2 linked regions of the Rattus norvegicus genome follow. The protein of the gene in region 1 purifies or fractionates together with the protein of each later gene. This does not show direct contact. Links are inferred from orthologs where the notes say so. Each region holds a gene or a part of one and is shown on either strand. Other genes may lie near its edges.

Region 1 (3,833 bases):
TAGGGTTTACTATGTAGCTTCGGCTTGCGAGGAACTCACTATCCAGACTGGACTGGAATTCACAGTGCTCCTTCTGCCTCTGCCTCCCTAATGCTGGGATTGAAGGCCTGAGCCACCATATCTGTTGGATGAAAATATTTTCAACTGTATACATACACATTTATGTATATATATCTTGTTTGTAAGATATTTTAAACATTTTGATTTGAAACTTTAGTATATTTCTTATTTTATATATGCATATGAACAAACAGATATGTAAGGTTTTTGTTTTAGAGGGAAAATAAGAGAAATGAGGACATTTTGGTAGGGTAGAAACTAGGATTCATATGAAGAAACGATTCAATACAGTTTTGTAAGATGAAGTTGAGGTCAAAGTTTGAAGTATTTTTGTGTTACTTATGCTTCTGCTTCCATTTGTTTCTTCCCCAGAGAACAAATTAAAAGAGTAAAGGACTCTGAAGATGTGCCTATGGTCCTAGTAGGGAATAAGTGTGACTTGCCTTCTAGAACAGTAGACACGAAACAGGCTCAGGAGTTAGCAAGGAGTTATGGGATTCCATTCATTGAGACCTCAGCGAAGACAAGACAGGTGAGTGCCACCGGAGAGATGTGCGTCTACTCTGCCGGGTGCTCCAAATGATGCTCACCACTGTTCTCCATTTCCAAATGGTGTCATTGGGGTCTACTTGCCACCATAACTATTGTTACATGTTCCTCATTTCATGTGATTCTCCAGTCTTTCTATTATTCTAACATAGAAAATAATGTTTATTTGGCAAATGTCTTCTCAAGTAGATAGTACTTCTTATCTAGGAACCACAATATTACTTTGGATCCCCCCACCCCCCATGTGTGCACAGGAGAGAGGGGGGTGTAGATAGATGGTAGGGGTTGCAATGGTCTCTGTACCCAGCCTGGGGTTGTACTCTCAGTCCCCTAAGTCTGTCTTGCAGGTGCTGGGATGACAGATGTCCTCCACTATGCCTGGTATTCCGTTTTCTTTTCATTTTGAAATTGTTTCTTCTGCCTAGAGTACATTTTACATTTAGGATTCAAGAAATGTGGAAATTTTTTCCCACTGAAATGATAAAGACAGAATGATGGAATAAAGTTTGACTTTCCTGTTTTAGAAGCAGTTTTTAGGATTTGTTGAGTTGTATTTGAAGAATTATTTTTTGGCGGAAAGTTTTTGAGGGTCTATTCTTCAGGGAGAAAGTTGTGATTAAAGTAAGGGAATATTTAGAAAGCAACTAGATATTCTTAAAAAGTGAGTTTCTGTAGTCTGACTGTCTGTGGGTATCTCCTGCGTGCCAGTTGGCTCACAGTTTACTTAGTTTCTAGAGACTTGGTGTGCATCACTCGGCTTCAGGGTAGGGAGCTATTTTATCCAAGTCCATCCCGCAGTCCAAAGGCACGAGAGGTTTGTTTCTATGTTCTATTTCCAAGTCTTCTTGATTTTATTTAGAAGCAGCCCAGAACATATAATTATAATATCTGTAACTTTTCCCTAAGTCCTCCTATGAAATAATTCAATGTAAGGAATTTTATTGAAAACATACTGTATAGATTTTACCATTAATACTTTACTCCTTCAATTGTTTAAACTTGCAAAGGCACCTTTCATACTAGTGAACATCAATCATAGTTGACATTTCATGGAGAAAAGGAAAAGCCCGAGACTGGGCTGGCTGTAAACACAGAAGAAAGGGCCTCTTGGACTAGAATATGCACACAAATCAGCTGACCTTATTAAAGTCAAAGTCCAGACATTGTGTTTGTGTTGAAGCCCATGTTGCGCATTCCTTTGCATTGTCGGGTGGTGCTGGTTGGAGAGTTGGGCCACAGTTTGAGTAGAAGCCATAGAGCACAGTGAAAGGAGTCTCTTGGCTTATCATCTCTGGGTTGCTCTCCACCTTTCATTTGGTAAGAGCCTTAAATAGCTCTTAAATAGCTTAAATTTAATTTATTATTTGTGTTTGACATTAATGCTTTGGTATACTGTAGTTCATTATTGATTTAGAACACTACCTCCTCTCCTTTTAAAATAGCTTTCTAGCTTTAACAGTGTTTTGTGGGGCTGGGGATTTAGCTCAGTGGTAGAGCGCTTACCTAGGAAGCGCAAGGCCCTGGGTTCGGTCCCCAGCTCCGAAAAAAAGAACCAAAAAAAAAACCAAAAAACCAAAAAAAACAGTGTTTTGTGACACACATACTACCAACACCTTTAAAAATTTAGAAATTTAAAAATTTGTTTTGCTTTGTTTATGTTTGGTTTTTGTGTTTTGACAGAGACAGCCCAGGCAAATCTCAGACTTACTATGTAGTAGAGGCTGGCCTTGAACTCTCGCCTCTACCTCCCATGTGTTGGGATTACAGGCATATGCCACCATGCCCAGTTCATTTTGTCAGGTTAAAGGCATACGGTATAGAAATAGATGAACTTAAATTTGGTTTTTAGATAGTGTAAGTTGTCTAACATGTATAGAGTTAAGATATACAGACACTTCTTAAGCCGTGCTTAGCCCTTCTTGTATTTATTCGTAATTTATGGATTTTTTTATACAATATATTGCCTAACTATAACTTGAATGCTCACTTTTCACTAGACTTGTTTTAGAAATTAATTTGCTTTGAAAAATCATTAATAGTTCTTAAAAATAATTTAATATTTTAAAGTTTTGGAAGATTTTAAAGAGCTACTCCAAATAATTTTGGTAATTTATAATATCCAAGGTACATTTTAATAAATTTTACCTTCAATTTTGGGGAAGATTTGGAGCTCCTTTTGGGGAGTATTTTGTTACTGTCTTTTATTTGCTTATTTGTGTGTGTGTGTGTGTGTGTGTGTGTGTGTGTGTGTGTGTGTGTGTGTATTTCATGTATGTGAGTACATTGTCGCTGTCTTCAGACACACCAGAAGAGGACATCAGATCCCAGATGGTTGTGAGCCACCATGTGGTTTCCGGGATTTGAACTCAGAACCTCTGCAAGAGCAGTCAGTGCTCTTAACCTCTGAGCCAACTCTCCAGCCCTGCTTATTTGTTATTTTAGCTACATATACCCGTCCTTAATGTATTTGTCTGCTTGAAATTTTGTTGTTTTTCCAGCCTAACAAAAGCACCACAGACTTGTATTTATGGTGGTAGGAACTGAACATTTCACTGAGAAGTTCTGTGATACAAGTCAGGGCATGGCAAGCATTTTCTACAGAGACCCAGAGAGCAAAGTGGTATCTTAAACATTATTTTCCCAAAAAAGCCTTGAAAATTAAAACTGCTTGTCAGCTAATACCAGAGCAGTTGACCCTGCCCGTATTTGGCCTTTAGGTTGTAGTGTGCTAGTCTCAACCTTTATAGAAGGCAACCGATGAGACTCCAGTAGATGCACAAGACCTTCGACCTACAACAGGCTGATTTTACCATTTTAAAGCTAAATTCATATATTTAATGAAAGAAGTTATATTCTATTTTTAAGATATAGGTTATAGAATACATATTTTTATCAGTACATTTTTGCTAATTTTAAATGCATATTACCTTGCCACTATATAATGATTAATAGAATGTGTGGGTGTGGGTGTGAGCATGTGTGTGTGAACACATGTGCACACCCACATGCTTTTTGCCCACTTTGAAACAGGGTCTTGCTGTGTTGCCCAGACTATTCTGGAGCTCATGTGCTCAAGTGGTCCTCCTTCCTCAGTCCCTGGACTCCAGATGTGTGGTACTGTACTGAGCTGAGCTGGTTTTTTTGTCCTTTAGTCCTTTCAGTGTGTTACTCCTTTAAAGGATAAAGGAGGTATTTTTTGCTTATGTTGTAGTATGTGGCTTGGC
Region 2 (4,400 bases), on another chromosome or scaffold:
AATAAAGGCACGTCCTCTAGAGTCTAAGTGAAGGGTGAAACTTTTTGTACCAAAAAGTACAAGAAAACATATGTTTTCCTTAAGGTAATATACGGAATGAATGCCTTAATTATAGGAGTCATTTTAGTTAAATGTTCGCCCCCACAAATGCAAGACTAAGCTTTATTTTTTGAGAGTAGTCTGTCCTACTGGCTCCAGGTTTGCTCTATATGAATTTAACCTACCGACTCCCGCGCTCCCCACTGGAGTCCAGCCTCTGCCTCTTGGGGAAGGCCGGCCTATGGCGCGCTTGGGGTTCATTGGCTCGGAGAGACGCAACTCAGGCAAGAAAAACCCGCCTCCCACATTCCGATGGCCCAAGGACCGGTTGGTAGGCAGCTATAGGAAGACCCAATTGGCCTATACACTCGCCAGTCAAACGCTTCGGCAACGCAGCTTCACCGAACCTGCAAGGATAAAACATCCCGCCCCAGTTGTCCTATTGGCTGGCCCGACCCGTCGCGGCCCCTTCACCGTCGTCTCCCCCCCCCCCCCAGTTCAGCGGTCCATTCATTTCGTACAATAACCGGTGCAATTGGAGCAGGTTCAAGATCTCGTACGGGTAGACAAGACTCTGCCACTTACCCGGGATCTAAAGTGATCACTCACACTAAGGCCTGCACGGTTCCTCTGTGGCAAAGCGGCACCACAAGCCACCGCTACCGCCGCCTTCTGCGCAATGCCAACCGCCCGCCAAAACGGATCCTTCCCTGCGCCTGCGCAACCAATCCCGGGCTTGGACCTTTTCTCCGCCCAAAACGCCTGCGCAAAACAGAACACAGGTCCCTCCACTACGCAGGCGCCTACGAACCTCGTATCCCTCTCCCGCCCGCCATTTCACGTGTTCCAGACAGCAGGCGGAACTTCGTACTGCGCCGGCGTAAACTCGCCATTTTTATTACACATGCGCTTTATAGCTGGGAAAAGTCGCGGCGAACTACTTTCTAACGTATCGTCCTTTGCCGAGTGAGTTTGTAACATTCGGGTGTGGGGAAGGTATAAAACACATTTAAAGACGTGAGTACATTCAAATATAAATTACTGGCTAGCTAGCCAATCAATGTGGTTAAGAATAAGATCCCTTGGGGCGTCAATGACTCAAAGGGGCGGGGACTGAGTAGAACGCCCAAACGGATGCCGTTTCTTAGCAGGGCGTTTTTACAGGCCAATGGTGGGAGGGAACAATTTCAAATCTCCAATAAGACTGAAGCAAGGGCGGAGTCTACCAATGCCGAAAGCGAGGAGGCGGGATAAAAGGGAGAGCAGAAGGTAGGCTGCCGGACACGTTCGCTATCTTATTCCTTTCTGCTCTTTGACGCTGGCGAGGAAGCATCGCTGAACGCTCTCATCATCCTACCGTCATGTCTAAGTCAGAGGTGAGTTGAGCGCGCTCTGCAGCTTCGCTTTCTTCCACACTTACTGAATATGACGGGATGTGACCTGTTTTGTCGCTGGCTCCCGTGCTTTCGGTGTTTGATCGATTACTGCTGAGGCCTACTTTAAAAAATGCAGGTCGCCATTTTGTCCTCATAGTCACCATGAGGCTGCGATCCGACAGCCATTAGTTTCTACGCACTGTTCCTTTTGGCAGAATTCTTACACTTAACGATCTGGGGTTTGTGGCCTTTTTTTCGTTTTTCCCTATCTGGTCTAATGATCTCTTGTTAAAGAGATACTAAGTCTTAATGGCGATGGACCAGACCAACCTGTGTCTTTTGTTGCGCCTGCGTATGAAGTAACAGGACGCATGCGCCGCGTGCAACTCGAGTCCCCAGTCAAGCCCAGGAAGGAGCACGTGGTCTTGTGCAGTAATAAAGAACAATAAAAAAGTGTGGCGTGTGTTGATGAATGGTGTTGATTCATTCGCCCAAGTTTCAGGCCCTCCACTAAGCCCCCTCTTTCCCCCACTTTATTTTAGTCCCCCAAGGAACCGGAACAGCTGCGGAAGCTCTTCATTGGAGGGCTGAGCTTCGAAACAACCGACGAGAGTCTGAGGAGCCATTTTGAGCAATGGGGAACACTCACCGACTGTGTGGTAAGATTTAAAAAAACAAAAGGAAGAGCTGCCTTATTTCTTCTGATTTAACCTTGACGCTTCTTAGCTAAATGTTTTGTGAAGTTAATTAATGGGATACTAAAAATCATCGTTGTGGAGCTTTGCTAACAAGATCTGTAAAAGAGCTTTTTATTTTCTGACTCTGGATGGAGTTTCATGTTTGCAGCGCTCTGACTAGGAATGACTTTTTGGCTTTGTGATCAGGCACTGTGTTGATTGAATTAACTCTAAACAGGTAATGAGAGATCCAAACACCAAAAGATCCAGAGGCTTTGGGTTTGTCACATATGCCACTGTGGAGGAAGTGGATGCTGCCATGAATGCAAGACCACACAAGGTGGATGGAAGAGTTGTGGAACCTAAGAGAGCTGTGTCAAGAGAAGTGAGTGGTTTTTCCTAATAGCTGGTTCTTTTTTAACCTGAGATTGTAATGGGGCAGATCTCAACTGGGAGATCCTCCCTCCTGAGTGAAATTAAAGGCATGTGCCACCACAGGTGTCAATCATTTAGGAATGTGCTGCTACTAAATAACTGGAGTCATTTTTCCTTTTAGGATTCTCAGAGACCAGGTGCCCACTTAACTGTGAAGAAGATCTTTGTTGGCGGTATTAAAGAAGACACTGAAGAACATCACCTACGAGATTATTTTGAGCAGTATGGGAAAATTGAAGTGATTGAAATTATGACTGACAGAGGCAGTGGAAAAAAGAGGGGATTTGCGTTTGTCACCTTTGATGACCATGACTCTGTGGATAAGATTGTTAGTAAGTATCAGAGGATTACATTTTCCTTTATGATTCTGGAGTTCACATGTTTTTTTAAAAGTCCTGAATTTAATTTTTCCTCTTAGTTCAGAAATACCATACTGTGAATGGCCACAACTGTGAAGTAAGAAAGGCTCTGTCGAAACAAGAGATGGCTAGTGCTTCATCCAGCCAGAGAGGTGTGTTTATTGCTTGGTTAGACTTGGGGTGAGGAGGACACTGTTAGTTATTACAGGTTAACCTAATGATCCAAAATTTCTTTTAAGGTCGAAGTGGTTCCGGAAACTTTGGTGGTGGTCGTGGAGGTGGTTTCGGTGGCAATGACAATTTTGGTCGAGGAGGGAACTTCAGTGGTCGTGGTGTGTATGGCTTTGTTTGGCTCCTTGTTGGTTTTAGAACTTATAACTAGTAATTGCTACCCTGTGTCCCCAGCACTTACAGGTTTTGATATTTGATAAGTATTCATTCACGTACAAAGCCTGGTTTAAAGCTTTGGTTTCTTCCAGGTGGCTTTGGTGGCAGCCGTGGTGGTGGTGGATATGGTGGCAGTGGGGATGGCTATAATGGATTTGGCAATGATGGTAAGTTTCTTAAGGAGTCTGTAAGGAGTGGTTTCTGGCGACCTCTACCTTTAGAATAGGCTACTAGAGACTAAACCTAGTGCATGACAAAGTTCAGTCAGCCCCGTAAAATGCATGCCCTGAGCAGCCTTTAGCTATTTAACTTGCGTAGATTTTTCTTGTTAAATACTTTTGTCTTATTGAGAAGACTTGTATTCTTGTAGGTGGTTATGGAGGAGGCGGCCCTGGTTACTCTGGAGGAAGCAGAGGCTATGGAAGTGGTGGACAGGGTTATGGAAACCAGGGCAGTGGCTATGGCGGGAGTGGCAGCTATGACAGCTATAACAACGGAGGAGGCGGAGGCGGCTTTGGCGGTGGTAGTGGTAGGTATCCAGTGACGCAGGTACTTGGTGCGGAGCTAGATGAGACTTCCAGGGTTTATGCCCGTCTCAGACTTCACGGCTGGCTCTTAGAGCATTGTAGGTACATTGCATGGTGCGTGCAAATAGGCTTGCTATGCTACCTCCTCCTGGCTTTAAGCTGGGGCCGCCTCCCCCAAAATGAGTAGGTGGATGAGTGGTTAGTGTCTTCCTTCCACATGAGGTAGTTAGAGACATAGCTGGATTGTCTACCTTCTGCTGGGACTTCAGGCATTTAGTTGATATATCCAAGAAATGTCTGTCTTGACCTAGAATATGTACACAAAGACCTTCGATTCTAACTTGCCACTGAGAGAAACTGTCATTAGTTAGGTTGATTTTCTTTAAATGTTGGATTATTAACTGAATGCCTCACTCAGAATGAAATGTAAGGGCTTGAAGTTGACAGAAGGTATATATAATCTTTGATTCAGGATCCTAAACACATTGGCTTGTCAGTCATCAAAGACTTTTCCATTTTAGGAAGCAATTTTGGAGGTGGTGGAAGCTACAATGATTTTGGCAATTACAACAACCAGTCATCAAATTTTGGACCGATGAA

Evidence for each region.
Region 2: the proteins of Kras (region 1) and Hnrnpa1 purify together in Homo sapiens (affinity purification with mass spectrometry; 3 studies listed by BioGRID and IntAct, with this or other methods). This does not show direct contact. The link is inferred for Rattus norvegicus from reciprocal best matches to the Homo sapiens genes KRAS and HNRNPA1.

Annotation. Positions count from the first base shown.
Region 1 is NC_086022.1:179,928,992-179,932,824, reverse strand, and holds part of Kras (GTPase KRas), read left to right. Parts: exon of another isoform or gene 1-432; coding exon 433-592; exon of another isoform or gene 593-3,833. UniProt on the Homo sapiens protein: Ras proteins bind GDP/GTP and possess intrinsic GTPase activity. Plays an important role in the regulation of cell proliferation.
Region 2 is NC_086025.1:136,252,759-136,257,158, forward strand, and holds the start of Hnrnpa1 (heterogeneous nuclear ribonucleoprotein A1), read left to right. Parts: upstream 1-1,359; 5' UTR 1,360-1,400; coding exon 1,401-1,415; intron 1,416-1,459; exon of another isoform or gene 1,460-1,817; intron 1,818-1,957; coding exon 1,958-2,074; intron 2,075-2,330; coding exon 2,331-2,477; intron 2,478-2,648; coding exon 2,649-2,859; intron 2,860-2,945; coding exon 2,946-3,038; intron 3,039-3,125; coding exon 3,126-3,218; intron 3,219-3,365; coding exon 3,366-3,440; intron 3,441-3,643; coding exon 3,644-3,802; intron 3,803-4,321; coding exon 4,322-4,400. UniProt on the Homo sapiens protein: Involved in the packaging of pre-mRNA into hnRNP particles, transport of poly(A) mRNA from the nucleus to the cytoplasm and modulation of splice site selection.